Caenorhabditis elegans: one gene and its partners. The protein of the gene in region 3 purifies or fractionates together with the protein of the main gene of each other region. This does not show direct contact. Each region holds a gene or a part of one and is shown on either strand. Other genes may lie near its edges.

What was found.
Region 1: the proteins of gck-3 (region 3) and F43C11.8 fractionate together in Caenorhabditis elegans (co-fractionation; one large-scale study listed by BioGRID). This does not show direct contact.
Region 2: the proteins of gck-3 (region 3) and shl-1 fractionate together in Caenorhabditis elegans (co-fractionation; one large-scale study listed by BioGRID). This does not show direct contact.
Region 4: the proteins of gck-3 (region 3) and tasp-1 fractionate together in Caenorhabditis elegans (co-fractionation; one large-scale study listed by BioGRID). This does not show direct contact.

Annotation. Positions count from the first base shown.
Region 1 is NC_003280.10:2,329,229-2,335,472, reverse strand, and holds F43C11.8 (RING-type domain-containing protein), read right to left. Parts: upstream 2,954-6,244; coding exon 2,878-2,953; intron 2,833-2,877; coding exon 2,666-2,832; intron 2,554-2,665; coding exon 2,485-2,553; intron 1,959-2,484; coding exon 1,394-1,958; intron 1,349-1,393; coding exon 1,279-1,348; intron 1,228-1,278; coding exon 1,203-1,227; 3' UTR 1,135-1,202; downstream 1-1,134. Other genes in the region: ZK1240.1 (RING-type domain-containing protein), read right to left, coding at 3,759-3,779, 3,831-3,871, 3,923-4,232, 4,287-4,341, 4,391-4,578, 5,515-5,583, 5,627-5,796, 5,864-5,942.
Region 2 is NC_003282.8:6,377,472-6,387,287, reverse strand, and holds shl-1 (BTB domain-containing protein), read left to right. Parts: upstream 1-3,217; 5' UTR 3,218-3,305; coding exon 3,306-3,407; intron 3,408-3,970; coding exon 3,971-4,198; intron 4,199-5,036; coding exon 5,037-5,485; intron 5,486-5,502; exon of another isoform or gene 5,503-5,523; intron 5,524-5,893; exon of another isoform or gene 5,894-5,914; intron 5,915-6,053; coding exon 6,054-6,162; intron 6,163-6,268; coding exon 6,269-6,484; intron 6,485-6,751; coding exon 6,752-6,928; intron 6,929-7,016; coding exon 7,017-7,119; intron 7,120-7,384; exon of another isoform or gene 7,385-7,405; intron 7,406-7,520; coding exon 7,521-7,713; intron 7,714-8,320; coding exon 8,321-8,402; intron 8,403-8,451; coding exon 8,452-8,529; 3' UTR 8,530-9,003; downstream 9,004-9,816. Other genes in the region: bli-6 (Nematode cuticle collagen N-terminal domain-containing protein), read right to left, coding at 9,180-9,816.
Region 3 is NC_003283.11:17,961,861-17,968,839, reverse strand, and holds the start of gck-3 (Germinal center kinase 3), read left to right. Parts: upstream 1-2,076; coding exon 2,077-2,263; intron 2,264-3,521; coding exon 3,522-3,706; intron 3,707-5,102; coding exon 5,103-5,330; intron 5,331-6,337; coding exon 6,338-6,562; intron 6,563-6,979. UniProt on the Caenorhabditis elegans protein: Plays a role in osmotic stress responses by regulating ion homeostasis and by controlling cell volume via the phosphorylation-mediated inhibition of the chloride channel clh-3.
Region 4 is NC_003281.10:10,756,573-10,764,408, reverse strand, and holds tasp-1 (TASPase homolog), read right to left. Parts: upstream 5,025-7,836; 5' UTR 4,855-5,024; intron 4,741-4,854; 5' UTR 4,643-4,740; coding exon 4,609-4,642; intron 4,558-4,608; coding exon 4,475-4,557; intron 4,422-4,474; coding exon 4,318-4,421; intron 4,267-4,317; coding exon 4,118-4,266; intron 4,066-4,117; coding exon 3,935-4,065; intron 2,947-3,934; coding exon 2,723-2,946; intron 2,056-2,722; coding exon 1,990-2,055; intron 1,808-1,989; coding exon 1,603-1,807; 3' UTR 1,403-1,602; downstream 1-1,402. Other genes in the region: dpy-28 (Condensin complex subunit 1), read right to left, coding at 249-466, 1,135-1,262; K01G5.10 (Haloacid dehalogenase-like hydrolase domain-containing protein 3), read left to right, coding at 5,891-6,178, 6,225-6,323, 6,374-6,733; rnf-113 (putative E3 ubiquitin-protein ligase rnf113), read left to right, coding at 6,772-6,909, 6,973-7,705.

The DNA of each region.
Region 1 (6,244 bases), on a different chromosome or scaffold from region 3:
AATTTGATATAATTGAAGAAGTAAGTTACTATGACGTGTCTGACGGTGGGAGTTGTAGCCGAGTCTGGAATACAGAAAAAAATATTAAGGATATTAGCAAGTTTTGCTCACCTTGAAACTTTTAAAATAAAAGTTTTTTTTTGCTCAAGCATTTATTCGACCTGTCGAGAATAATTAAAACCAGCAAAGTTTAGTAGAAATTAACATAAAATCAATAGTAGAGAAAAAAGGAGGGCGCACATTCCGTAGGCACCCAAAGGAGATGGAATGAGGAGAGCCGCGGAGCCAGCTCAGCGATAGAGCTCAGTTGCTATGGTGATCATAATCTTCTTGAGCATTATCTTGGTGAGCAAAAATATTAAAAAATAGCTACAGGCGCATGGTAACCATAGTGATAATCTGATAATCCTTCCGTCTCAGCGATTTTGAGTCAAATCTCTTGGAATCTTTACCCATGATATCACAAGCGGGTTTTTCAATCGCTCAGGGGTAAGCGGCAAATAATTTTTCCGGCCAAATTGGCCAAATGGCATATTGCCGGAATTGAAAACTTTTGGCAAATAGGCAAATCGGCAAATTGCTGCACTTGAAAATTTCCGGCAAATCGGCAAATCGGCAAATTGCCGGAATTTAAAACTAACTTACCAGTTTGCCGAATTTGCCGGAAAAACGGCAACTGTGGAACATTTTTTGCCAAATTGTGGTCTTGCACATTTTTTTGGAAGTTTCAGAATTTCAATTTTAATCGGTAAAATTGTACGCATCCTATGAATCTTCTTATATCTATTTTGAAATTGCCAAAATTGAAAATTTCCGGCAAATTGACGCAGTTGAAAATGTCTTCAAATCGGCAAACCGGAAAATTGCCGGAATTAAAAAATACCGATGAATTGGCAAACCAGCAAAATGCCGAAATTGATAATTTTCGGCAAATCGACAAACCGGCAAATTGCTGAAATTAAAAATTTCCGGCAATCGGCAAATTGCCAAAATTGAAAATCTCCAGCAAATTGCCGCATTTGAAAATTTCCGGCAAATCAGCAAACCGGCAAATTTGCCGATTTGCCGAATTTGTAGAAAAAAAACTCTGAAAAAGATTGGCCCATGTCTGTTCGCTTTTGAAGCGCAACAAAATCATCAATCACATTTTTATTTATGTACAAACATTTTCAATTAAATATCCTATAAAACCGTCGTTGGCATCAATCAGAGCAGCTAGCAGGTTGTCTGAAAAAAAAAACTTTTATATAAAAATTCATATTTCTCTCGTTAGCTTACCTCCTAGCCCTGCAAAATTCTTCAAACTCGCGAGACAAATTGTTGTCAATTCTAGAAACTTTCGTGACTTCTGAAAAATCCAATTTTTCCAATCAATATTTTTTCAAAGACCTACGTATGACAAGCCTATCCATCTCTGGAAAAATCAGTGCTGCGTCAAAAACTTCAGGCTCAACATCAGCAAATTCAGTCCAGAGCTCATTCTCGCTGCTCACTTCCAGCGCAGAATTCACCGCGAGCAAATCTGCATTGCTCATTTTCATAAACAGCTTCAGCTCCGCACTTTTTCGCTTTTGCCGGTTCAAGGATTCCGATAGCTCTGCGATGAGCAGGTCGTTCGTGAAAAAGTTAGTTTCCGCGATGTTCTGAAGCGTCGCAAGAGCATCGTTTTCGAGAGCATCCAAGGTTTCTCGTATTGAAGCGTAGAAGGCTATTATCGAAACCTTTTTCTCTTGAAATACCTCCCCATCGTCGAGATTTGTTAGCTGAGCTGTTCCGATCTTTTCGATATTCGCATCAATTTTACTTGCCAGGTCTTCGGATCTTGAAAGCTTCCCGCTCAGAAACTGTCTCAACTTTGCCGCTTCTGATTGTAGTAGGCCTCGATTGTGTCCGGCGTGAGCTCCAAACTCTTCGCAGGTACGGCACATGAGCTTATCGCTAGATGAGCAGGTGGGCTCCTGGAAAGAATGCTAGTTTCTCAGGCAAGAAGAGGTGCATTTGGCTCTAGCTTCTGGCCCAAGTTTGGCGCAAAAAATAATAACTTGTTTCAGACGTTGAGCAAAAGTTGGGCAAAACTTGGATTCAAACTCCACCAAAGTTTAAAAAAAGGTTCAACCAACTCTGCCAAACTTCTACATAAGTTTGAAACGAAATAAGAGAAGTTTGGGCCAAACCTTTGGTGCAGCCTGAATCCGAGTTTTGCCAAAGTTTTGCCCAAGTTTAGCAAACTTCTGATCCAAGCTAATATTTTTTGGGCAAAACTTGGCCAAGAATTTATAGCCAAATGCCGAGCTTGACCACAAAAGTTGAGCAAAATCTAGGCCAAGACTTTGGCCTGAACTAGGCTCCCACGTACCATTATTTTTTGGCTATTAACCTCGCACTCTCAGAAACCGGCGAGTTGTCGGCTGCTAATAGTAAGTTTTTTAAAAAATTTTTTACAGTTGACATTTTGGGGCCTATCAAAACCTATAAAGAACTCACAATGCACACAAATTCCGCAAAATTGTACTGGTGAGAAGCGCATTTTGGCGGTGAATCAATGGGATCTTTCTGAAAAATTTTATATTTGTATATAAATATATATATGTATATATAAATATATATATGTATATATATATATATATATATTTATATGTATAACTTTATTTCTAGAAAAAAAAACCTCTTCAGTTCTAGTCTTAGCGTGTTCAACTGCCTGTAACAATGCAAAATTCTTCTGCAAATCCTTCACTGTACTGACATTAGTTGCTTCCCGGCAGAATGGACATAAAATCATAGAGTTTTGGAGCAATTTTTCTGCACAACCATGGCAAATTGTGTGGCCACATCCTGAATTTTTATTTTTTAATTTTAGGAAAGGTAGCAAAAGCTTACTCAAAATCCTAGGAATATTTTCATCGGTGGCACTTGAGAAATCTTCGTTGCAAATTTCACACTCAATAAATGACATTTCGGAACTGTACGGAGGGTTGGAAAAATAAACGAATGGTCTTGGGAGTTCTCCCGCTGACACTGCGATAAGACGATAACAATTTGGTGACCAAGAATACACGGAAACCGGTAAATATTTTTTGCTGACTCATATCAGTTTAGATACACCATTTTCAACACTATTGCTAATTCTATGTGGTCAGTTACTACGGATTTCGTAATAGTTTTTCGTAAAATAAAACGTTTTCAGAGCCTGGCGCCTGCCTGAAACCTGCCGAGCACCTATAGCACTGTTTGTACGGGAGCGGGCTTATTTTAGAAAAATCGAAAAATCGAAAATTTTCGTTTTTTTTTTTGATTTTTCGAAATTTTTTTCTCTTATCAATAGAAAAAAAATTAGATAAAAATCGTATTTTATGATTAATTTTTAGATCATTTTTTTTTTCGATTTTTGGATTTTCCGGAAAATCGAAAAAACGTAAATTTTTGTTTTCCGATTTTCAAGTTTTCGAGACTTAGGCTTAGGCTTATGCTTAGGCTTTGATTTAGGCTTAGCCTTTGGCTTAGGATGAAGCTTAGGCTTAGACTTAAGCTTAAATGTAGGCTAGGCGGAGAAAAAAGAGATAAAAAATAAATCCTAGAAAATATGAGAACTCAGAAAAATAAAATACCAAAAAATTAGACATTTCAAAAATTTATATTGCCCGAAAAGGGCCAAAAAAATCAGGATTGGAGAGTTGAATTTTCGGTTGTTTATCGGTATTTGTACAAAGTAAAAAATGATTGAAAACTTTAAAACCAAAAAACTGCCTTGTTTGGAACATTCAAAGCCACAGGGTTATATTCTGAAATTCATGTACCTATAATACAAATGCTAAATTATCATTAAAACCTACATCTGGCTCCAGAGAGCTTGACATTGAAGCATTTGCCACATCTACAAAACTTCCTGACATTGATCTACCAACTTCCTTCCAAATCCACTTACCCACAGCTAACCTGTTCACTTCTGGAAAATTTAATGCTACATCAAACTGAATAGGCTCAACTTCTGTATTTTCCGAGTCATCCCAGAGCTGAATTTCTGAATTTAGAGCTAACAAATCCGCGTTGCTCATTCCCAGAAACGACTTTAATTTCTCGTTTTTCAATTTCTGGGTTTCCAGGGATTCCGACAATTCTTCTAGTAGTAATTTATTGCTAGCTGAATTGGATTCTGCAATTTCGCGTAGTTTTTGATTTGCAAGGGCTTCCTGGGCATCTAAGGTCTCTCGTATTGAGGTATAGTAGACGGATATCTGAAAATGTTCTGGAATTGTATTTCGTCCCCGTTTCAAAAAAAAATCACTAACCAAATCTTTTTTATCTTGAAACACCTTCCCATCTACTTGATTTGTTTGCTGGGCGCTGAAATTTCAGCGAGCTAAAATTGTGATCTACCGCTTTTTAAACTAACCTGTCAACCTCTTCAATGTTCTTGTCAATTTGAACAATCTGATCTTCGGACTTTAAAAGCTTATCTTTGAGCAACGTTCTCAATTTCAAAGCTTCCGTCTGTAGGAGGCCCTTCGAGTGTCCGGCGTGAACTCCAAACTCCTCGCAAGTTCGGCACATTAGCTTTTCGTCGGAGGAGCAGTTGGGGTCCTGGAAGGAGAATTAAGGAAGGTTCTCGAAGATTCCAGAATTTTTCTTAAATTTCCCAGAAGGTTCTAGATCATTCTAGAGTTTTTTTGAAAATTGCTAGAAGGTTCTAGAACATTCCAAAATTTTCTAAAATTTTCCAGAATGATCTAGAGCATTACAGAATTTTCTCGAATTTTCCAGAAGGTTCTAGAACATTCCAGAATTTTCTAAAATTTTCCAGAAGGTTCTAGAACATTCCAGAATTTTCTCGAATTTTCCAGAAGGTTCTAGAATATTCCAGAATTTTCTTGTATTTTCCAGAAGGTTCTAGACCATTCGGGAATTTTTTTTAATTGCTAGAAGTTTCTAAAACATTCCAGAATTTTCTCAAAATTTACAGAAGGTTCTAGACCATTCTAGAATTTTTTGAAATTTGCTAGAAGGTTCTAGAACATTCCAGAATTTTTTATAATTTTTTCAGAAGGTTCGAGAACATTCCAGAATTTTTTTGGAATTTTTAAGAAGGATCTAGAACATTCCGGAGATTTTTTTCTAGAAGTTTCCAGGTTTTTTTTTGAATTTTCTTAGATGTTCTAGAACATTCGGGAATTTTTTTTTAATTGCTAGAAGTTTCTAAAACATTCGGGAATTTTTTTAATTGCTAGAAGTTTCTAAAACATTCCAGAATTTTCCCAAATTTTCTAGAATGTTCTAAAACATTCCAGAATTTTTTCAAACCTTCCAGAAGGTTCTAGATCATTTCAGAGTTTTTTTGAATTTTCCAGAATATTCTAAAACATTTCAGAATTTTCCCGAATTATCCAGACAGTTCTAGTACATTCCAGAATTTTCTTGAATTTTCCAGAAAGTTCTAGACCATTCGGGAATTTTTTTTAATTGCTAGAAGTTTCTAAAACATTCCAGAATTTTTTTCAAATTTTCCAGATAAAAACTCACAAGACAAACGAACTCCGCCATATTATATTTATGGGTCGCGCATTTTGGCGGTACATCTGCTTCATCTTCCTGAAAAACTTTCTCATTAATTAAATTATCTAGTATATCGTACCTCTTCTACACGTTCAGTTTTCGTGTGTTCAATTATTTGCAGCAGTGCAAAATTCTTTTGCAGATCCTTTACCGCACTGACACTTGTTGTTTCCCGGCAGAATGGACAAGAAATCGCCGAGTTTTTTAGTAGTTTTGTCGCACAGCACTGACAAACCGAGTGGCCACATTCTGAATCATTTACCTATTTTTAGATTCAAGCTTCGTATTCGTATTTGACAGAAAAAAATATACTCACTCAAAATTCTTGGAACCTGATCTTCATTGACACTTGAGAACTCCAGATTGCAAATTTCACATTCGATAACTTTTGACATTTCTGGAGACTGGAGAATTTCGAGAAGAATCGGGGAAAAAACTAGAGAAACGACCGGGTGGCTGACTCCTTGTTGACACAAATTTCCAGTTGATAACGATTTTTACGGGCTCGTGAGAGTTACGCAAAAACTGATTGTAGTAGGTGGGCATGGTTTTGCCTAGGAAGTAGGCATAGGCGAGTAGGCGCCTGCCTGTCTACATATAGGTACCTTTGGCAAATGACATTTCAAGTTGTGTAGTAGGTATCGGTTTTGCAACTTATAATTGAGTTTGAAATGTAATTGAGTTTGTAATTGAGTTT
Region 2 (9,816 bases), on a different chromosome or scaffold from region 3:
TAAGGTTGTCTTGAGGCTTACTTAGATACCTGCTCACCTGCCTTCCTGCCTGCCACCTTCATGTGTTCTTGTATCCGAAACTTTTTAAGGTTTATATTAACGTATATAATATATTTTACTCCATAAGACGTTTTTTTGATACTCAAGTAGGCACAAGGTAGACGCGATCCTGAATGAAAGGTTTCCTAAAGCTTGTGACTAGTAAAATTCTTACAAACATTTCAAAAAATTGGTCAAATATTTTTCAGACAAAAATTAAGTTTTATTCCCTGTTTCACAAAGTCTATGAAAACTATCGCACTATGATCCTCATTCACTTTTTCAAAGTAGTCATTTTTGATATCGTTCTTTGATATTTTGAGCATCTGCCACTAACAATTAGAAATTAGAAAAAGAGAGAGTAGAGATGGAGAGAAAAAGTGAATTGTGAAACGGGATATGGGTGTGAAAGTTTGTTAGGTTCACTAACTGCAACATTCGTCTGACTTTTTGTTTTTTTAGACTCCCATACCTTCTCTTTGTTTACTGAAAAATTATTCACTGGGAGTATTAAAAATATAGATGCAATTGGAAACAGTCATCGATTTTACTTTTTATTAGCTTTTTCAATTGTTTTCTTACGTTGTCAGAGTGATTGTTTGCACTTCTGCAAAATATGCCTATTTAATTTACTGTTTCTTGAGAAATGTATACAGTCATTATTTCTAGCGATACTCACAATTTTATTGCATTTCCTTGTCTAGCTTCTAGTTTTAATAAATTGATTGCATAAATATTGGATATACATAAAAAGTAAATAATACAAAATCTGACGACTTGACACAATAAGACTTCGTGAAACAGTTAAAATTTGATAAATTCTAAGGAACCCCTATGATAGATAAACAACATCATGTTTTATATGCGTTTTGATACACTCAAAATGCTAAAACTGCTGGGTGCCCTAATTTTTCAGGCCTAAATTTTGAAATCTGTGCAAACACGCCACACAGTTTCATCATATTGAGTGTATGTTCCTAGAAAACTTTCAATGAGTTTATTGATTCCGGAAAATGAGAATTGCCCAAGCAAAATCTACCCCGCAAACACAAAACAAATTATTTTAAAAATTCGGAAGACTAGGCGATAGGCAGGCAGGCTCGCCTAGCCCAAATTTTACTACATAAAGTACGCCTCCGCATTTCAAATGTGGAAATCGTAACAGTTAATAGCACTATTAACGTATTTTAAGAGATTACCGTTTCACAACCATTTGAAATGATTCTACAAAACTCGTTACATACTGCATTAGTGTTTAAAACAGTGAGAACTACAGTTAGAAACAATGTATCCACAAGTGACAGTCCACTTTCAAAATATTAACGTTTCACAACTATTATGAATAGTTTTTTAAAATAGTTTTTTAATCGGTACGTATTATAGTTATTTTGATCAACTAGTTCATTCTTGATTATTCTTTCCTCTTTTTTTAAATCCAATTTAACCGAAAAAAGCACAAAAAAAATGAGGAGAGCCAGTCAACTACTGCCAAAGCAAGCATTTTTAAAGTCTAAATTAAAATTTCAACAAATCAAGTAAACAAGAAAAATTGGGTTAGGCACGCAAAATTATCCACGGGACTATCAAACACCATGCTTCACCCAAATATGTAGAAATTAGGCGTTAGGCAGGTAGGCAATGGTGTTCTTTCCTAACATGAAGTTTAATTTGACTAATTGAAGTACACATAATCAACCTTCAAAAAACTTTTCAAAAAGTTCAAAAATTTTCAAAAACAATTAAAAACCCTCCAAAACGTGATTTCAGATGAACTTCAACTTGTACTTTTTCTAAACAATTCTTCAACTTTTCCGTAACGTGCCTTTTCTTTTTTCAGCTTATTTTGCTTATTCTTTTCTTCTCTCTTTATCCAATTCAACCGAAATAAGCACAAAAAATCGAGGAAAGCAAGTCATCTCCTCTCAGGCAAAAATTGAATATCGAGTTTCATTTTCTCTCTCTCTCTCTTTCTTTTTCTTTTTTTTCTAGTCTGAAGATGTCTTCAGAAGAGGTCGACTTTTCCAATTTTGTCTATCGTTTTCTCTTTCTTTTCCTGGCATCAAGGAGCCCGCGAGCCTTTAGAGAAGAGGGCTCTTTACACACAAAATTGGATAAAATTGAAAAAGAAGAGGAAAAGTGTGAAACTGGAAATGTAACACTTCTTCCTTCCCTCCAGTTCTTTTCTCTCCTTTTCTTTCCTTCACATTTTCTTTTGTCCCACGGCTTCTTGCTTCTCGAACCGATCTCGACGTCGTCTCGCGTCGTTTACGGGTAATTTGAGCCCACACGTCGTCACCCGTTTGGAGCTCTGCGCCAAGGAAACCATCAAAATTGGAGTGGGAAAGAACCTTATGTTTTTGCAAAACGACAAAAAGTTTAAAGTTGGCTGCTGTTTCTAAAAACGTTTTTTTTTGAAACAAGTGCACTTTTGCAGTTTTTTGTGACGTGCAAGCCTTCTAGACTTCACTTTTGGCTTGAGACCACTATTCAGCTATATAGGTTATGTATTCTGAGAAAAAAACATAGTTTTTTTTGTTGTTAGGTCAGAGTTACCGTAGTTGATGTATTGCAAATGTTTGCTTAAAACAAATTATTGATTTGAAAATCTTGATTTTGAAATTGAAAATTTTCCTGTGATTTTTAAGTGAAACCGTAAGTTATATATTTTTTGGCATAGCAAACTAAAATTTCCGTTTCACAGTCATTTGAAATGATTCTACAAATTTCAACATATACTACATATGGCTCCATACTTTAAAATTCGTAATTTCTAAAAATATTTCTGAATTATCTTGAACTCGAAAACTTAGTCATCAGCCCTTTGTGTCTCCAATTTCTTTCCAGAATGTAACATTTCTGAAACCCCGGTTTTCCAATGTACCCGCATATCTCACGTCGACCGACCTACCTATGCGCCTGTATTTTTATGATATGTTATTATCCCAAAACACATACAGACTTACCCTTTTTTATTTCGATTAATTTATTTCAAACTTCAAACGAAAGCTCGATTATTTAATTTTCAAGCAACTGCTGTTGTAGACCACTTGAAATATAAGTTTTCAAAAAAATCAAACTTTCAAATTCTTCAATATATTTCCAATTCCCATAAATGATTTCTTTTCTTTTCATTAATTCGCTTCAACTTTCAAAATTATTTTCATAACTCCTGCTTTACAGCGTACCCAGCAAAATAGAAAAAATTTTCCTGAAAACGACGTCATCAGGAAAAGTGTTCAGAATCCGTCGTCGTTGTCTTCTTCAGAATGGCTTCGGTGGCGGCGTGGCTGCCGTTCGCGAGAGCCGCCGCTATCGGATGGGTTCCCATTTCGAGACAGCCCATGCCACAGGCCCCAGTTGCAATACAGGTTAGGTTTGGTGGGAATAATTTTCTAAATTTAAATATAAAGTAGTCCAAATTTGATCTGAAAAAATTGCGCCAAATATTTATTTCCCGATGTTTTTTTACACTGTGATATTTCTAAAAATTTTTGTGTGACGCCACACATCTTCATTTTTAATGAGAGACACTTAGGCAGCATTCTGTGTTTCTATTCGGTCATTTATAGACACTATAAAACAGTGGAAATTTCCACGTTCTCACAATTAGGAATTCTTGTTCGCGGAAAAGGTTCAAACATCAAAAAATACGGAATTCTTTCATAAATTCTTGTTCACACACGTGTTAGGTGGTCGATGTCTTTTGAAAATTTGGAAATTTGATACGAGTGTCATATGCAATGAGAGATTAGATCCTCTTTTTAGTTCCAGGATCCGTAGTGAGAGGGAAACTAAATATACATTTTGAACTTTGGATATGCAAAATTTTTACTGTTTCATTTATTTGGCAGATTCCTCTTTTTCATGAACTAATTTTTTGTGTTGCCTGTAGATCTCTATATGTTCACAAGCTCTCAATGTGATATTTCAGGCCAAAGACCTCGCGGTTGATCATGTCTCTGACGAAAAACTAGCAATCAACATATCAGGACGAAGGTTCGAAACGTGGAAGAACACGTTGGAAAAGTTCCCAGAGACTCTATTGGGGTCAAATGAAAAAGAGTTCTTTTATGATGAAGACACTGGGGAATACTTTTTCGATAGGGATCCGGACATATTCCGACACATTCTCACATTTTATAGAACGGGAAAATTGCATGTGAGTTGTTTGTTTTTGTTGTTTGAGCCAGTTTGAGACAAAAAATTGCAAGCATTAAAAATTAATGTTTTTTGAAACAGTTTTTTTAAAAATAAACTCTCTTCAACTTTCTAAACTTCCGCTGAAAATGTTCTTAAAATGTAGAATCATGCTTTGACATTTTTTCTATAAAAAATCAAATTTTAACCCATTCACATAGGCGCTAATGTCCCCGTCTACCAACAAAGCAGCATAGACCTGTCTCGAGCCTACAGACAAACCGCAGGCGGGCAGCAGGCAGGCGTTAAAATTAAAAATATCTGCCTACAAACTTACGCATTTGTTTTGCAATTTTTTTTTGGAAATATACAGAATTCAATTGATTGTAAAATAGATGCAATTTTTATTCAGAAAAATATTAAATCTTTTGAGCAATGCTTTTTGAGAATTTGGAGCATCGCCGGAGAATATTTTAAATTAATTATGCCTAATGGTGCTTAAATGGCCTAATAATGTAGTAAATCCTTTATAAATTCAATTTTTTTTAAAATTTTATTCAAAAGTGACGATTCCTCATTTTTTATTTATTTTAATAATGCGTTAATAAGTTTTACTCAAACACTGTATGAGTATGAACTTGTAAGACTGCTAGATATTTCTCAAAGGAAACGGAGTAATATTTTTCGAAAATAAATTTTAATTTCAAAATAAATTTTATTTTGTATTATAATTTTCAATATTATTTTTTAATAAAAAAAATCTTTGAAAAATTTAAGATTTTCGTTTGAGTATGTGGTGACTTGTTGAAATCTATTAAAATGCGCCACTTTCCATTTTTCCCAGAAATCCATATTTTCAGTATCCCCGTCATGAATGTCTTGTTGCATACGACGAAGAGCTCAGTTTCTTTGGAATAATGCCTGATTTGATATCAGATTGTTGCTATGAAGACTATAAAGATAAAAAACGAGAAAATCAAGAAAGATTACAAGAAGAACGTGTAGAAAATGCGGATATATCAACATTAAAATTGTCTCTTAAAGAGAAAATGTGGGCGGCATTCGAGAATCCGCACACAACATCAATAGCACTTGTATTTTATTATGTCATTGGATTTTTTATTGCTGTATCAGTGATGTGTAATATAGTGGAAACAATACCTTGTGGGTATGAGGATAATGTGTCTGTGACGTGTGGAGAAGCCTATGAAGAGCAATTCTTTGTTATCGATACAGCGTGTGTTATCATTTTTACGATTGAGTACTTTTTACGGTTGATTTCTGCGCCGGACCGAATCAAATTTATGAGGTACGTTTCTTTTAATATCAATATGTAAACTTCTCACACTAATAAGTTAAATATTCACTGATTTTATCAAACTCATTTGAAACAGCAATAAAATTTTGAATTTTCTAATTATCCAATTTTGACGCTTTTTGATTACCTATCGGCTTTAGAGACAATTTAATCAACCAATTATTTAATACAAAAATAAATTAGCAAAACGCAATTAGGAATAATAATCAAATAAAAACGAATTACCCAATGCTATGGGAAAGTTCGCGAAATTCAAGATTTGAGCTAAAATAATCGTAATTCTTTTCAAAATCTTGTGCCGCCAAAAAAAAATTGGAAAATTTTTTGAGAAGTCTCATTACAAAATTCAACCATTTCAGTATGACCCTCTAGCCCGTCTTTAATGCATTTTTATGATTTCAAAAGTTTTGTTCAAAATTATCAGTTCAAAAATATAGAGATGTTTCTCATAACAATCATGAAACTGTAAAATAATTAAGGACACATTTGTCAAAATTGGATAACATGTTATTTATTCGTCCTTATTTTTTTAACCATTTAAATGGTTTTCTTTTTTCAGGTCAATAATGAGTGTAATCGATGTGATTGCCATAATGCCTTACTACGTTAGTTTGGTACTAACTGACAATAAGGATGTATCCGGCTTGTTTGTCACTTTAAGAGTTTTCGTAAGTTTTTTCTTTTGTTAATCCTTAAATTGAATATCCAAATATTTTTTCGAACATTCTGATAAAAATCATTAATTCTTTGATCAAATCCTTCTAAAATTTACAGCGTGTCTTCCGAATATTCAAATTCTCACGACATTCCCAAGGTCTTCGAATTCTGGGTTACACTCTTAAATCGTGTGCAAGTGAACTTGGATTCCTTGTATTTTCACTGGCAATGGCAATTATCATATTTGCCACTATTATGTATTATGCGGAGAAAAAGGTCGACGCGACGAGATTTACCTCGATTCCGTCAGCTTTCTGGTATACAATTGTGACTGTGAGTTTTTCTTTGTAAAATTAAGAAACGGGGTTGAAATTTTGATTTTTACGTTAAATACTCTCCATAAAACCTTCAACGTTTTGCAAATACCTTATCCCAAATGCACTAGGAAAATGTAAATTTTAAAGTTAATATTTGCATTGGAAAAATTAAAAATTAAAATATTTTTTTTTTAATTATACAAATCACTGAAGACTAAAGGTGAAACCTATTCATACAACACAGTCATTGTTTTTCATAATAAAAAATTAATTTTTCTTTCAGCTAACAACTCTTGGATACGGAGACATGGTTCCATCAACAATAATGGGTAAAATAGTTGGAGGAGTATGCTCACTGTCTGGAGTGTTGGTTATTGCTCTTCCAGTTCCAGTTATTGTCAGCAATTTCTCTCGAATTTATCATCAAAATCAGAGAGCTGACAAGAGAAAAGCACAGAAGGTATGGTTTTTCGTTCAGTTGTAAAACCTTTTTAAACACTTAGTGATTTTTTTGCAAATTTGTTGGATTAAATTTAATCAATTTTCAGAAAGCCCGTCTTGCTAGAATTCGGATCGTTAAAAACGCGTCTGGACTAGCATTATTCAATAAGAAGAGAGCTCATGAAGCTCGGATGCTAGCATTTGAACAGGGTAAGTTGGTTTTTTTTTTCATTAGAACATTTCGTATTGCCGGCTTAAGTTAGTTATTATTGAGTTGTCACAAAAATATTTAACTTTGGAAATATAGAAAAGTATTCCATTTTGTTTTTCGGTCTCTTGGCATTTCTGTTGGCTCAAAAAAAGCAAATATAAAACATTAAAATTAAAAATTAATAAAAACAGTTCGTGATTCCGCTTGCTCAAGAGGGCACAAATTTTGAATCCGGTATAAAAAACAGATTCTGTGGTTTTTTTTTATTCCGTTTTTTTATATTTAATGTTTTAGGTTTTCGGTTACTTAATTTATTAGCAATGTGAAACATTAAAAAAAAATTATGTGTACAAAATTCTAGATTATAATTGAGATAACTCTAAAAAGTGCATTTTTGCAGGTCATCTCTCTTTCGATGCTCTCCGAGACGAAGATATCTTCGAAATCCAACATCATCATCTTCTTCAGTGTCTAGAAAAAGCGACGGAACGTGAATTTGTTGAATCAGAAGTGATGTTTGAAGGTGGAAGAAATACTCCTCCGCCCAGTGAAACAGCTTCATTGAAAGGAAAAACAAAGCGTAAAAGGCGATTGTGAGTTTTTGATTTTCAATCCTTTGAAGATTTATTAGTCTCTGGATTTCAGGGTAAAAAAATAAGAAAAAATTTTATACTATTCATCAATAAAATAAATTATCATCAAAAAAATTCACTGATGCTTTCTTTTCGTTAATGCATTTAAAATGGAAAATAATCATGAATGAAAATGAAAACTGTAGAAAATATTGTTGCGTTTTAAAATCCAAAATTCAAAAATATGCCTCTGCAACCCTGGCTAAGATGTCTGCTTGAATTCCCACCAAACATAGAACAAGGATATTAGGCAGCGTTGAAATACCATGTTTTCAAAAATTGTAGTTTCAATTATTTCTTGAATTTTTTTGAGTTTCTTCTTTGTCAGCAATATTTTGAGTATTTTAAATTAGAACCCCATTCGAAAAGTGAGTGTACCACGAAATGGTCTCGTTGGTGCAACTTTAGAGGGAATTCAAATAGCAAAATTGACAAAAGTGGAAAAACCTTAAATTCTTGATGTTGGATTTACTTCTTATTTTTGTCATTTTTCCTTGGTGATATTTTTGATTTTTGGATCACAATTTTGAGTTAAAACAACAAATCTCCTGAAATTTATTTTTTTTAGATGCTGTGTTTCAAAAGAAAATGAAGAAATGGAAGAGTTGGATCGAGAGACTCGTGTAACATTCAATCAGAATATGGATCAGGTATAAACTAACACCAGTTATTTGTTGAAAATTATATTATTAATTTCAGATTTGTGAATTACCAAAACCTGATGAAATGGAACTCAATCATCGAAATAATGACAAAATTTGCGTATCGCAACTGTAATCTACTTCTTTATTTTATTTTTTTAAAATGATTTCTAAAAATCATTTTCTATAGAAAATTTCTCTCATTGCTCTACCGGTTCCGTCTTTCTAGAAGCTAGTTGTTCTTTTACAAAAGTTTTCTGAAATCATCCCTCCCAACTATTCGGTTTCCCCAATCTCTCATCAACGATGCAATTTTGTTTTTTTCTGTAATTTTTACTTTTTCAAGTTAGAAACAAATATATTTCCATTGAACCCGTTTCCCGAAAAACTTCATATCGCTCTTTTTCTTTTTCAGTTCGAGGTGACTTTTCTCTAAATTTTCCCCGCTACTAGGAGCCTCTCCGATGATCTGCCCATTGGTGGCAGATGTCTTTCATTTTTTTTTTGATTTTTCAGATGGAAATATAAAATTGAAGTAAAATTAACTTTTTATGTGCAGTTTTTTTTTTTTCAATTTTCCAGGTCTGTCGATAAAGTTTTATTTATTTTCTAATTTTAGAAAACCACAAAGGGAATTACTTTTTTTTAACTTAGTGAGCTGGTTCATTTGTATCAGCTCATTGCTGAAAAAATGTAACTGTACAACATTCCGCTTCATTCCAATTGCATTTTAAACTACAAAAAACTTTATAAACAGATACATAAAATAATGCAATTATCAACAGTTTATCGTCGGGTTCCGTCCTCAAAGAAGATTCCTCCATCGATAGCACAATACTTTGGACAGATTCCCTTCTCTCCAACACTTCCTGCTTGTCCGGCTTGTCCAGCTGGTCCTGGATTTCCATCAGATCCTGGTTGTCCTGGTTGTCCAGATGGCCCCTTTGGTCCTGGTTGACCTGGTTGACCATTTTGTCCTGGAGTTCCTGGTTGTCCAGGTGGTCCTTGTGGTCCAGCCTCTCCTGGTGCACCTGGTTCTCCTGGAACAAGTGGCTCAGATGGAGCATCTTGACCTGGGTTCCCATCTTGCCCTGGTGCTCCTGGTTGTCCATTGACTCCTGGTGGTCCCTTTGGTCCTGGTTGACCTGGTTGTCCATCTTGTCCTGGACCTCCTGGCTGTCCATCAAGTCCAGCATCTCCAGCTGGTCCTGGTGGTCCTTGAACTCCTGGTGGTCCTTGTGGACACGGTTTGCATGGTGGTGGGGTAATTGGGTCACATGGAGCTTGTGGTGGACGTCCTGGATTTCCAGGAAGTCCAGCTACTCCAGGCTTTCCTGGACGACCTGGCTTTCCTGGGGTACCGACGGGTCCAGCTGGACCTGGAAGACAGCATCCAGAGCAGGATCCTCCAGCGGCCCCAGCA
Region 3 (6,979 bases):
TCGTATTTTTGCCCCCTGTTTCTCCCAGTTTTCCACCCCAAATTGTGATAATTTATTGCGTTTTTCCCCCTAAAAATCCATATTTTCACCTTAAAATTGCTCTTTTTGAGCTGAAAACCTCATTTTCAGCACAAAATTGTTTAAAATTGCATATTTTGCCCCCAATTTGTGACAAATTTATTGATTTTTTTCCCCAATTTTTCCGCTGTTGGAATAGAATTTCCCTGCCTTCTCATCTAAATTTATAATTTGTTCACTGAAAAAGTGGCATTTTTAAGGCGATTAAATCAATTCTATATTGTATTTATTTATTTCTGTGTGTGTGTTTTCAGACGAAAAGAGCGGTTTCCAATGTGTACCGGCTGAAAATATCTTTGATTTTTTTATGATTTTTTTCCTGCTCCTGAAAATTTGAAATTTGGAGCTTTTTTCCATGTAAAATTTCGCTGGAAATTACTGGTAGAAATTCCCCCTAAAAATGAAGAAAATCGATCGAAAGTCTTCAAAATGAAGTATTTTTACAAAAAAAAAAAACAGCGAAAAGCTGGATTTTTTTTGGTAAATAAACTATTTAGAAAATCCAGTTTTCGGACTAAAAAGACTCTTGTAAAAATACGATTTTCCCCAATTTGAAGGTTTTTTTGAAATGAAATTCTAGAGAGAAATTGGCTGAAAATGAACTTTTAGCGCGCAAAAATTTCAATTGAAACTTAAGATATCCGTAATTTTTACTATTTGGAGCAAAAATCCAGAAAAACACCGTCGTGTAATTATTAAAATCTCAAAAATAATTTTTAAGCTATAAAATCTCAATTTCCCGAGCTAAAAGCAACACGTTTTTTAGCTCAAAAATTGGATGATTTCAAGCCTGAAAAATCTTTAAATATTGTTCGGCCTTAAACCAAAATGTTCAACGGAGCTGAAAATTTTGTTTAGCGAAAAAAACATTTACGTATATATAACTTGGAAATTTCTTTGGAAATTGAATTTTTAAGCTCAAAAATCCAGATTTTTGAGTCATATTTGAGTGAAAACTTCCTTTTTTTTTCCTCTTCAACTGACACTGCAACTTTTTCCTCACGAGGGACGAGGAAAAGTGGTTTCTAGGCCATGGCCGAGGGGCCGACAAGTTTCAGCGGCCATTTATCTTGCTTTGTTTTCCGCCTGTTTTCTTTCGTTTTTCATCGATTTTTTCGTTTTTTCTTAATAAAACTGATAAATAAATATTTTTGCAGATGCTAAAACAATTTCCAAGTAAAAAAATTATGTATTCAGTGGGCAAGCAGCGGTGAAAGTGGTCAATGTAAAATGATGGATTACGGGAATACAAAACCTAAACTTTTTCTGAAACATGATACATATGCTGCTTAAATGCTGAGACTACCTGATTTTCATAACGAGTCTGCTGAAAAAGTTTTGAGGTTTCCAAAATTCAACTTTTTTGGTGAAAAAGTCGAGATTTTCGCACAAAAAGTTGAATTTTGAAAACCTCAAAACTTTTTCAGCGGTCTCGTTATGAAAATCAGGTAATTTCAGCATCTAAGCATCATATGTATCATGTTTCAGAAAAAGTTTAGGTTTTGTATTCCCGTAATCCATCATATTACATTGCCCTCTTTCACCGCTGCTTGCCCACTGAATACATAATTTTTTCACTTGGAAATTGTTTTAGCATCTGCAAAAATATTTATTTATCAGTTTTATTAAGAAAAAACGAAAAAAATCGATGAAAAACGAAAGAAAACAGGCGGAAAACAAAGCAAGATAAATGGCCGACTTGTCGGCCCCTCGGCCATGGCCTAGAAACCACTTTTCCTCGTCCCTCGTGAGGAAAAAGTTGCAGTGAACTATCGGACCCAAAATTAGACTGTGATTACAAAAAGTTAGTTTCCAGCCGTTTTTTTTTTTTTTTTTCAAATCTACTATATCCTTAATGATATTACTGATTAATGATATCAATTAATTTATTAATATTGTATTAAAAAATTTCAGAGTCTCATACGTGTGTTGTCCTGTGTACATCATCATCATCATCAACAATATAAATTAATATATAATAAATCAAAAATATAAAAAATGAGCTCTTCGAATCTGGCAGGAAACACGAATACTACAACTACATCATCAGCAGCTTCTGCAGCAGCTGCTCATTCAGCTGCAAATGCTTCAACAATAACATCAGAATACTCGACAACACAGACAACAACTGGAACATTTAACACTGATACATTATCGAGCATCGGATCAACGTCGACACTTCATGGTGCTTTTTTGGATTTTTTTTGCGGTCGAAAAATGTGAAAAATGGCAATTTCTAGCTTGAAATCTAATAATTTTTCCGAAGAAAAAGTAGAAATTTCAATAAAAATTGGGGTTTCCCGATTATTTTTGCAGGTCCAGTAAAATTTAATTTTTATTTAAATTTAAAAAATCGAAAATAATTTTTTTAAGTTAAAAATGAATTTTTAAAGTAAAAATTACATCTTTCTCCTTCTAAAGTTGGTATTTTGTGAGGAAAATAATTAATTTTTACAATAAAATTGAAATTTTCCGGTACAAAATGTATTTTTTGCTTTGAAAAATTGGTTTTTTGGGTATAAATAAATTTTTTTTGTAGGAAATTGAATTTTTCAACGGAATTGAAGTTTTGTAGTGAAAAATCAATTTTTCTCCTTAAAAAATTACATTTTTGAGAAAAAAAAACGAATTTTTACGATCAAATTTAATTTTTCTAATAAAAAATTCGATTTTTTTTTGCTCTAAAATGTACAATTTCTTCATGGAAATATAATTTTTTGGCGGAAAAATTCGATTTTCACTCTAAAAATTTAATTTAGCTGAAAAATTTGATTTTTCACATAAAAAAAACCAATTTTCACTTGGAAAACCCTAATATTTTCAATTAAAATCAATTAAATTTATAAAATCTACATTTCCGATTTTTGTGAAAAAAAAACAAATTTTTTTAATCGGAAAAATTGATTTTTCAAGAAGAAAAAAAGAGTTTTTCCTGTGAAAAGTCGAATTTTTCAACGAAATCTGTTTAAAAATGTCATTTTTGAGTACAAAATTCAATTTTTACTCTAAAATTTTCAATTTTTGTCGAGGAAATATGATTTTTTAGGCAGATAAACTCTATTTCTTCATTTGAAATTTATTTTTACTCCAAAAATGTTTTAATTTAGTTTAAAAATTCGATTTTTATACATTTTTTTTTGTTTAAAAAAAAAACGTTTTTCCCGGTAAAAATTACCTTTTTAAATGTGTAAAAAGTCGAATTTTTCAACGAAATTTAATTTTTGAGCTGAAAAAAAATCGAATTTTCTGCTTAAAAATTACATTTTTAAGTACATACAACATTGAATGTTCCATGTAAAAATTTTCAATTTTTACCTTAAAAACCAAAATGGTTTTTTGAAAAAACCAAAAAAAAAATTACAAAAAAGGTGAGAAAATTCAAAAATCGCGCAATTTTTAGGCCCAAAAAATGAATTTCACCCCTAATTTTTTTGTTGTTGCAGGATCACAACCATCCCAACCACCACCACCACCACCACCTCAAGTATCATCACCGATTGCGGCAGCTGCAGCAGCATCAGCTGCACTTGTTGCACAGCTTAATCCGGCCGATCGATGGCCAACAGAACCGTCGGCTTATAAGTTGGATGAGTCGATTGGAGTTGGAGCAACTGCTACCGTTTTTACTGTATGCTGCTTCTTTTTTGACTGAAAATTACAATTTCTATGTCAAAAAAAGCCGAATTTTTAGACAAAAATTCGGGTAAAAAAACGCAAAAAAAAATCCACTTTTTGTACTGAAAATCTCCGGAAAAGTGGCGAAATGGCGAAAATTACAATTTCTAACCGTCAAAAAAAATTTTTTTTTCTAAAAAAATTAAAATTTCCCGCCAAAAAATTTGAATTTCCCGCCGAAAAATTTTTTTTTCTCAGAAAATTTGAATCTCCCGCCGAAAATTTTTTTTTTCTCAGAAAATTTAAATTTCTCGCCAAAAATTTTTTTTTCTCAGAAAATTTAAATTTCCCGCCAAAAAAATTTTTTTTTCTCAGAAAATTTAAATTTCCCGTCAAAAAATTTTTTTTTCTCTCAAAAAATTTGAATTTCCCGCCAAAAAATTGTTTTTTCTCAGAAAATTTAAATTTCCCCCGAAAAAAAATTTTCGACGGGTCTCACCACGAAGTGAGCCGTGATTTTCCTCTCAAAAATGAGCAAAATAACGAAAAATCCATCAAAAATTGAATTTTTGCGTAAAAATTCCACATTTTTCAACTGGACACCTTCAGAAAAACGAATTTGAATCTGAAAAATTCAATTTTTCAGCCAAAATTTTAATTTGTCTTTGGAAAAACCCGGAAAAATCGCTAGAAAACCCCAAATTTCGGCGGGAAATTTAAATTTTTCCGAAAAATCTCGTTTTTTTCAAGAGAAAAGTGGTGAAAATGTTGATTTTCACCTAATTTTACTTTAAGGTGGTGAGTATCGAGACTTTTGTTTTATTAATGTTTTATTAAAATTGGTCCAAAACTACCGAATTTTGTAATGAGACGTTCTGAAAATTTCTCAAAAAAAAAGTTATGGCGGTTCGGCCGAATAAAGCTCATTTTTAGCTAAAATCAAAATTTTTTCCAACTTCTCAGTGCCACAATACCTGGAACCTAATTTTTATTTATTCATCACTTTTTAATAAATATTGTGGTTTTTGAGTGGGCGTTTATTCGTTGATTTAAGTACATATGTCAGTGGGGCACAAATAAAAGTTAAATTTTGTACCCCAAAGACCATAAATGTACCTAAATCAACGAATAAACGCCCACTCAAAAACCACAATATTTATTAAAAAGTGATAATTAAATAAGAATTAGGTTCCAGGCATTGTGACACTGAGAAGTTGGAAAAAATATTGATTTTAGCTGAATATGGGCTTTATTTTGCCAAACTTTGAACCGCCATAACTTTTTTTTGAGAAATTTTCAGAATGTCTCATTACAAAATTCGGAGATCTGGACCAAATTTGGGTCTAAAAAAGCAAAAGTCTCAAATTTCGGTCGGCTCTACCTTTAAAATTCCCACAATTTTTTTGCAGGCCTACTGCCTTCCACGAAACGAGAAAGTCGCCATCAAATGCATAAATCTGGAAAAGTGTCAAACATCGGTTGATGAGCTAAGTCATGAGATTCAGGCAATGTCCCAGTGTAATCATCCGAATGTTGTTAGCTATTATACATCATTTATTGCACAAGAAGAACTATGGGTTGTTATGCGTCTACTCAATTGTGGTTCAATGCTTGACATTTTGAAACGCAAAGTTAAGGTGAGGAGGTCAAGTTTTGGCCTGAAAAACCCCCAGAAAAATCCGGGTCCCGGGAGATGTCGGCTGCTTTTTTATTCCGCAGTAACACGCACGCGCGTTTTTCCGGGACCCGCAAATTCGTCGGCGCTGCATTTTTTGTTAGGGAAACCAGCGAGGCGTCGGCTGCTCCAACTTGGGCACCCTTGGGTGTCGGCTGCAATTTTATCGAAACTCGTGAGACGTCCGCCGCTGCTCCCGTTTTGAGTGCCCAGGAGATGTCGGCTGCTTCAGTACACATTTCTGAGTACCCGGGAGGGCCTGTTTTTAACTAATTTTTAGTCAACAAAAATTGCGAAAATAGGAACAATTTTGAGCCGAAAAATCGGTTTTTTGACGATTATTAAGCTAAAAATCGAATTTTTCTGAATTTTTAAGTCGAAAAATGCAGTTTTTGAAGCATTTTATAACGCTAATCTATTTTTTCTTGAACTTTTGAGCTAAAAAATTACAATTTCCTATAATTTCAAGCTAGAAAGGCATTTTTTTATTGATTTTTGGCAAAAAAAAACAACAATTTTTCCTCAAAAAATCCCCACACCCGGAATATGCCGGCAGCTCTCACTTGGAGACCCGTGGGACGTCGGCTGCTTTATTGAACATTTCAAGTGCCCGGTGGAATGTCGGCTGCTTCTTTTTTGAAAACCCATTAGGTGTCTGCTGCTTCTGATTGGGGATCCCTAGGGCCCCTGAGATGTCGGATGCTTCATTGCCCAGTTTTTAGAGCCCGGGTCCCGGGGGATCCCTAGGGCCCCGGATATGTCGGCTGCTCCCTTCCACGGTCCCGTTAAGCGAAAATCGCACACCCGGAATATGTCCGCGGCTTTCTTATGAAAACCTGTTCGGGGGCCGGCTGCTTCTGTTTTTGGAACCCCTAGGACCCCGGAGGTGTCGGCCGCTTTTGACGGTCCCGTTAACTGTCGGCTGCTCTCCCCGTTTCCCGCGCAAAAATGTCCATCTTCAAATTTCAGGCAATTGGAAAAGAACAGGCGCAATTCGGTGTCCTCGATGAAGTATCAATTGCTACAGTACTCCGTGAAGTACTAAAAGGACTCGAATATTTCCATTTAAACGGACAAATTCATCGTGACATTAAAGCCGGCAACATACTGCTCGCCGACGATGGAACTATTCAAATTGCCGATTTTGGAGTATCTGGATGGCTTGCTTCTTCTGGTGGTGATTTGTCACGTCAGGTAATAATGCTGCTTTTTTATTGAAAATTCCACCACAAAAAATTGACTGAAAAACTGAAAATTCCATGTTTTTCGATGGAAATTTGAGAATTTTGGCGCGGTTTTGAGTAAAAACGCTGAAAAATCCGAATTTTTGGAATGTAAATTCTAGAATTTCGTCAAATTTTAAACGTTTTCCGAAAAATTTGCTGAAATCTGAAATTTGGATTTCCCGCAAAAAATTATTTCTCAAAAATTTTTTTTCGAAATTGGAAACCTAACGATGTCGGTTTTTCGATTTTCCGAAAAATCGGAAAATATGTTTACAAAAATAAGAAAACATATAAATTTGACATATACATATATATACCTATAGACTATATATATATATATATATATATATATATATATATATAAGACTATATATATAAATAATGC
Region 4 (7,836 bases), on a different chromosome or scaffold from region 3:
CAAAAAAAAACCGAAAAATCTTTTTTTTCTAATCAAAATTTTTCAATTTTTTGGTCTGAGAAAAATTGAGAAAACTGTCGATTTTTCTGCTTTTTCAGGAAATTATCAATGAGTTTTGGGCACTTTTTTCCTCTTAAAATATAGCAAATTTGAACTTTTTCGTGGTTTTTTAAATTAAAAAAAATTCTCTTCAAAATCGGGTTTTAGAGCAATATTTTATACTTCCAAAATTCCACCAAAAAACGCACAAGAAACGAGATAATCGACGACTTTGAATCGATTTTCCCAATTCTCATAAGTAGAAGCTCGCCGTGAAAGTGAGCTCAACGATGGAAAGAACTTTGGAATTCCTCTCCAATCAGAAATATCCGAATATGAAGAGAAACTGTCGATATCCTTATCGATTTGTTCGGATGGAATATTATTGTCAGCTTCGGCGATGATTTCCGTGATACTTTTGAAGCCACTGAAAAAAAAAATTTGAAAATTTAGAGTTTTTGACAGGAAAAAAACAGCCTTTTTCTCGGTTTTTCAGGAGAAATTTGAAGAAATTTGTGATTTTTTTTTCATATTTTGTTTTAAAAAATTCCGATTTACTTCTGCATTTTCTGTGGAAATTTAAAAAAATTATTTTTGATTGAGGAAAAATGGAAAAAAAACTGATTTTTCGGTTTTTGAAATGAATTTCAAAAAAAAAAACGGAAAAATCCATGGTTTTTCTTTTTTTTCTAGAAAACGGTGCATATTTATTAAACTTCACAGGAAAAATTCTTTATTTTACTTTTTTTTCTAGAAAATTCCATAAAAGGTTCTGTAAAAAATTATATATTAGTTTTAAATGAAATTAAATGAAAATTATGGGTTTTTCAGTGAAGAAAGCATCGAAATTATTGCAATTTGCAGAGAAATTTCAGTAAAAATTGAGAAAAATATATCTAAATCTGGAGTTTAATTGAAATTTTTGAAATTTGATATTAAATTTTTTTTTTTGAAATTATCGGAAAAAATTAAGTTTTTTATCGAATTTTAAACTGATTTTTTTAGTTTTTTATGTGAAAATTGTGCACGAAATCTGATTTTTCTCACGAAAAAAAAAACTGAAAAATCTATAATTTTCCAACTGAAATTCTCAACCTCAATCCATCATTATTCCGTGTCGGCTGCTGCTGCTGTTGCTGGCTCGTCGAGCCAAAATCCATATCCTCATCTTCATCTGAAGTCGGTGGTGACGGTGTAGTGACAACGCGTTGTTTTCTCGGCATTTGTTAGGGGAAAAGCCTGTAGAAGGGGGAAATTAGTTTTTAAAAAATAATAACAAATCAGTGATATTTCTAAGCGAGCAAGTGAGCACTAGAATAAATTCAATAAAAGAAAAAACAATTAAAAGTTTAAAAATTAAAATATTTACAAAATTCTTCATTTCATTTTAATTTCAAATCATAAAATATTCTTCAGCGGAGGATTGAGAGAGAAATCGGATGGAGTGGGGGAGTTGTTTTGTATATTTCCGCATTCAAACCCCGGAAAATTCCGAAAAAAAAACACAATTTCCAGATTTTTCTAAGTTTTAAACGCGGAATTCTTGATATCATATACATATTATTACATGATGAATGACTCGATAACACATTTAGGATCAGTAGTACATTGATCCGGATCGAATTGTGATTCAAAAACACGAATCTGATTGTCTCGACAACGAACTGCAGCCGGAAGATATCGACAATTATGGAAAATCAGAAATTCCAGCGACATTCGATCTTTGAATTTGTCGGCGATCAATGCGATGCCACCGTATCGGGATCCACTGCAAAAAAAATCAATTTTTCGATTTTTCGAAAAATATATATATAAAGCTTTATTATGTTTTTTCATCAACAGATACAAAATTTTATGAAAAATTTCATTTTTTTCGAACTTTCGATGTTCAATTTTTCAATTATTTAAATATAAATATGCTGCTCTGAATGGAATAATAAATCTACTTACTGTTCCATTTTTTCGTGTATGAATTCTCGAATAATCTCACTGTACATGATACCCTCCTCGTCGTCTCTGAAAGAAACAAAATTGATGCGTTGTTGTTATGGTAACTAGGGTCTCGCAGCGATTTATCTCTTTTTTTTTAGTCGTAAAATCTTTTTTAATATTAAATTTTCTTTTTTTTACAATTTTTAAAGCTATTTGTAAGGGAAATAATTTAAAAATTGTTAATTTATCAATTGTTTGCCGATTTTAAGAGAAAAAAGTTTAGAAACAGTCAAAAATTACATTTTTGTGCTACATTTTCAAGAAAAACGGTAAAAAACTTGGATTTGCAGTTTGTTTCAGATCACAAATATATGAAAATCTCGAATTTTGAGCTATTTTTTGCAGAAAATAGATAGGAAATTGTGGATTTTTGTGCTAATTTTGAGAGAAAATTGCCTTTGTAAAATTGTAATCGCTAAAAACGTCCCAATTTATGCAATTTCTACAGAAAATGGTCCTGAACGCGCAAAATCCCCGAATTTTAAGCAACTTTTTTAAAAAGAAAACTGGTCAGAATTTCCAAAAATTATAGATTTTTGTGCTAATTGTTCGAAAAAAGATTCAAAAATCATCAAAATTGTGGATTTTCATGCTGATTTACATCTAAAACTGCTCAGTTTTAAGTTATTTCTACGGAAAATGATCCAGTGCGCGCAAAATCTCCAAATTTTCAATAATTTCCCAAACTTACAGCACTCTCGTGGCGATACCCCTGCAGAAATCGGCTTTCACAAGTGATTCACCGTGTCCTGTCGAACAAATCGAGATGGTTCGTTCACTGACTTGATCAAATGGTTCTTCGTATTGCCTTCGTTCAGACCATGTTCCACTTCCATATACACAGCTGTGACCAAGCCGTCCCGAGTGTTTTAGCACAATTCCACCGCTTGAAGTACCGGATTCTGAGTTCATTGTCTGCAAAAAAGACATTTTTCGTGGCGAAAATTGGAAAAATACGAAATTTTGATAGAATTCAGGGGGAAAAACTTTTGAAAATCGATTTTTTTTTTGCAAACCAAATTGGCATTTTACTGAAAAGTGGTAATTTTTTATTTGAAAACCGTTTTTTTTTTTCAGAGAAATTTAGACCCAAAACCGGCTAAAATAGAGGAAATTCGAGATTTTTATAGAATTTTGCCAAAATGGAGTTGACAATCTGGTTTTTTAAACTCGTATTTCGATCGAAATAGCTTTTATACGTGTGATTTGCCGGAGAAATGCTAATTTTCAATTTTAAAACCTGTTTGTTCCGGGAAAAATGAAAATTCCACAAGGAAACGTAGAATTTTGATAGAACTTTGGTGGAAAATAGATTTAAAAATGGGATTTTCCACCTTTTTTCTTCAGAAACTCACATTGAAACTGCTTTTTTTTCATAGAAATATAAAGGAAAATGCTATTTTTCGATTAAAAAACTTTTTTTTTGTGGCCAATTCTGGATCGAAAACGCGAAATTTGCATCGAAATTCGGCGAAAATTTTTTTTTAATCGGATTTTTCAGCGTTTTCACAGAATTCAGCCTAAATAGCTTTTTTACGTAAGAATTTAACGGAAAATACGAATTTTTCATTTTGAAAAATCGGACTTTTTGGTCAAAAAGTAGTTAAAAATATATTTTTCGGATTATTCTTGGAGTTTAATAGAAGAAATGCTAATTTTCGACTAAAAAAACGGTTTTTGTGGACAATTAGGCAAAATCTGAGTCAAAAGGGCGGAATTTGCATTGAAATTCGGTTTTTTCTAGCAAAATATTAATGAAAATGCCATTTTTTCGAAAAAGGCTTTTTTTTTCGGGAACTCTGAAATTTCTTGGGATCTGATAGAAGAAATGCGCTAATTTTTCATATTTTGAACACATTTCCCTGAGAAAAGGAACCAATCTCGAATTTTCCTTCATCCTTACATTGGTATTAATTGAAATAGCTCCTACAGTGTCATGTGTATCATATGGATGAAGCATTCGATGTAAATACTTCTCAAAGCTCTCTTTCGCCGCTTTTGATACGAGTTCTTCAGGTGTACACGTTGGAAAATCTGAAAATCCAATGATTTTTCGAGATTTAAAATTCAAAATTCAGAAATTTACCATTTTTAACAGCATATTTCTCTGCTCCACGACCAACAAGAATAAGGGGATGAAGAAGACGTCGCTGCTTCCACCAATTGCTATGTGCAAGGTGACGTGCCACTCGGGACGGATGGAAAACGTTGGAAATCGCGCCGACCGCGCCGAAACTGAATTTGAAAATAATCGGTAAGGGAGAAATGTATGGTTTTTAGGGAAACCTTAAATTTTTGGATGACATATATGATGCTTCACATTCAACTTCTTGATCGATAGTCAAATGTGAGCCGAATCCACAGTTGAACTTTTCTATTCTTTCAAGATCCTGCAAAAAAAATTAAATATATTTCGTGAGAAAACCAAAAAAGAATTCCTCACCGTCAACGCATTCTCAACAGTGCCTGTACCACACGCAAAACGGCAGTCCTCGGCAAGACTTGCGTCGAATTTAGCACACGCACCTGCAAGATTTAAATTTTGCCGCAAAAAATCGATAATTAGTGTGCGCAAACCTCCGTGCACCGCGATTATCTCGCAGTTGCTCATTTTTTGAGGTTTTCTTCGAGTAGAACTCCACTGAATCGATGTTTCAGAAGGATTTTATTATCTCCGGCCACCAGGACGGGAATGTCGTATTTGAATTTCTGAAAATTAGGAATTTAAACTACCTATTTTTAAATTTTCTGTATTTATATTTTTATTAAATGAGAAAATAGAATACAAAACAAAAAAAACGTAGACGTAGAAGAAAGTCTCACTTCAATTAGCTCTGGCGATTCTTGGGCGAGATTTTTCTCGACGACAACAATCCCGGGATGCTTTTTAAGATAGTTTTTGAGTTGTCTGTGAAAATGTACGCACAGCGAGCAGTTTTGCGATGAGAAAAGCACGAGTTCGACGGGTTTGGACGAGGAGAAGGAGCGCTGCAAAGCACGAGGAAATGTGATCATTTGAATTGGCGTCAAAATCACATGGTAAAACTAGGCCGCGCATGACCTGAGCACGAGACACTCTCTCGGCCATTTTCAAGTTGGCGCGCTGTGTCACACACTCCGGTGGAGCGTGTTGTGGCGGAGTGTATGAGAAGTGTGCGAGTGGTTTGCGTTCGGCGCACTCCGCCCACTTTTTCCGTGCCGCACGCGGGTCTTTCGAATTTTATCGATTTTTTAAAAGTGTTTTTTTAGTTTATTTTTGTTTTTGACGAATTTATGAGGGATTTCTTGCGATTTTGGATTTTAAATAAAGAAATAGGTTTAAATATAAAAAATATCTTTAGATAAAGTATTCCTAATCGATGAAACAAGTGGAGTCAAGGAAATCTCTAGTTTTTCCTTCTAAATACTCGAAGCAAGCCAAAATGAACGAATTTTGTGATAAGATTTCTTTTAAATTGTTCAAAAATTGTTATTCTGTTCAAAATCAGGTGTTGGAAATTAATTGATTTTGGCTGAGAAATCGTTATTTGGAGAGTTTGAACAGTAAATTGAACTCTTTTTTTTCTACAGAAATATCTCTGAAATTCGGATGCAAAAACCTTTTTTCTTTTAAGAAGCCTAGTGTTATCCCTATGCATCTCGAAAAACTTCTCAAAAATTCCTGATGTTTGAATTCGAAAAATCGATTTCCGATACTTCCAATATTATTTTCTACGAAATCGTCATTTAAATAGTTAAAATGCAGTATTTCCGTCGTTAAAATATTGTTTTCGGCCAATTTGGAGGAAAATTTTCAATCAACACACTAACCTTTTCTTTGGAAATCTAAAAAAAACTCTAGATTTCCATATTTAGCTCAATGCTCTCCAACCTGCTCCGTACAACTTCTCGTAACCTTTCCACCCCTCCAGTCGTGAAAGTTCTCTCCCTAGATGCTCGTGATACACTAATCACGATGAAAGAGTCTCCACCGATAGTTTATTCCCGTTTCGCGAGGCAATATGATTTGGAAGTCGACTCCGATCAAATCATGGGAAGCTTTCTTAAAAATTATAAACGAATGAGCATCGCATCGCCCTGCTTTGGGTTCAATGGAATTGGAAACAAAAGTTGGTGGATTGAAGTAGTTTCTTCTACGCTTTTGGATGTAGGTGTAATCTGAATTAGGCAAGTCCCCTACTTGATAGTTTCAGTGTGCTCCGGATTCTGAAAAAGGACGGGTTGAAGTGATCGCTGGAGCTTTGTACAATCACTATGCAACTCCTGAGCCGTGGAAACTAGTTGAAAGCGATGTAAATTTTGTGAATTGTTGAAAAAAAAATACTGCAATTTTTCATTTTAGACGCGCCAAACTCTGCAAAAACTTCGCCTGAAAGGAATCATCCTGGTTGTCATCTCCAATTTCGATAGTCGCTTGAAATCTCTACTTTCTCAATTCAATTTACTCGATCTTTTCTCCATGACAGTTCTCTCCGGCGAAATTGGGTACGAAAAGCCCGATGAGAAGATCTTCCAGCTAGTTGTCAACCATTTCGATCTAATTTCTCCCTCGGAAATCTTGCACATTGGAGACAATTTGAAAAATGATTTCCATGGCGCCAAAAATTTCGGCTGTAGAGCTCTATTGTTTGATTCATCTTCCTCTCATAATGTTGAACCGTTTTATTGTATTTCTCGTTTGTCAGATTTGAAGCTTTATTAATTAATTGAATTTAATAAATAGTTTTAATTTTTCAGATAATGGATCTCTTCCGAAAACCGAAAAAGCGCAATGCACCCGTCGTTCGTAAAAAGGAAAGCTCAAGTGATGAGGATCAAGATTCAGAAGTGAAGGATGTGATTCAAAAGCGACGTCGTACGAATCCGATGGTCCAGTCGGTGAGATCTTGGTACTTTAGTGCTCCAAAATTTTGGAAAATCCCAATAAACTTTGAAATTCAGACCAAACAACTAGACGCCTCAACACGACGTGCTGATAATTCATCGGATGATTCTGACGACTCTGACGACAATCAGGATATCGCAGTAGCAACTCACTCGTTCGCCGCTTCAGGAGATGCCGGTCCATCTGGACCACGTGATCAAGGTGCCACTGCAACACTCGAAGTGGACACAGACTATTCACACGATGCCCAGGCTCAATTCGAACGAGTCCAACAGCAACTGAAGGAAGGCGTCGAGAAAGACGGAAAAATTCTGTACAAGGGAAGTGCACTGTATGGAGCCAAAGAGGCGAAGGATACGGCCAAGGGAAACGCTGCAAGTGGTTATAATCGAGTTGGGCCCGTTCGGGCGCCACAATTTCTACGACAAACAGTCCGTTGGGATTTTGCACCGGATATTTGCAAGGATTACAAGGAGACTGGATTCTGTACGTTTGGAGATTCGTGTAAATTTGTGCACGACCGATCGGACTATAAACACGGATGGGAGATTGATGAGGAGTACGAAGCAGGAAAATATGGTGCTGAAGACGATGCGAATTACGAGATTCATGAAGGCGACGATACGTTTCCGGAGGATTGTTTTATTTGCGGAAATCCATTTGTTGATCCGATCGTGACAAAATGCAAGCACTACTTTTGCACCGGTTGTGCGTTGAAATCGTTCCAAAAGTCGTCAAAATGCCCAATATGTCAGCAGAATACTGAGAATATTATGAATACCGCAAAAGGTTTGAAATAGAACGATTAATTCGTGATTTTCGCAAGTTTTGGAAGGTTTTTCGGCGCAGTTTGATACTTACATGTTACGGAGGATACTGCACGTGGACAAGCGTGAATCTTTTTTCACATTTTTTGGACA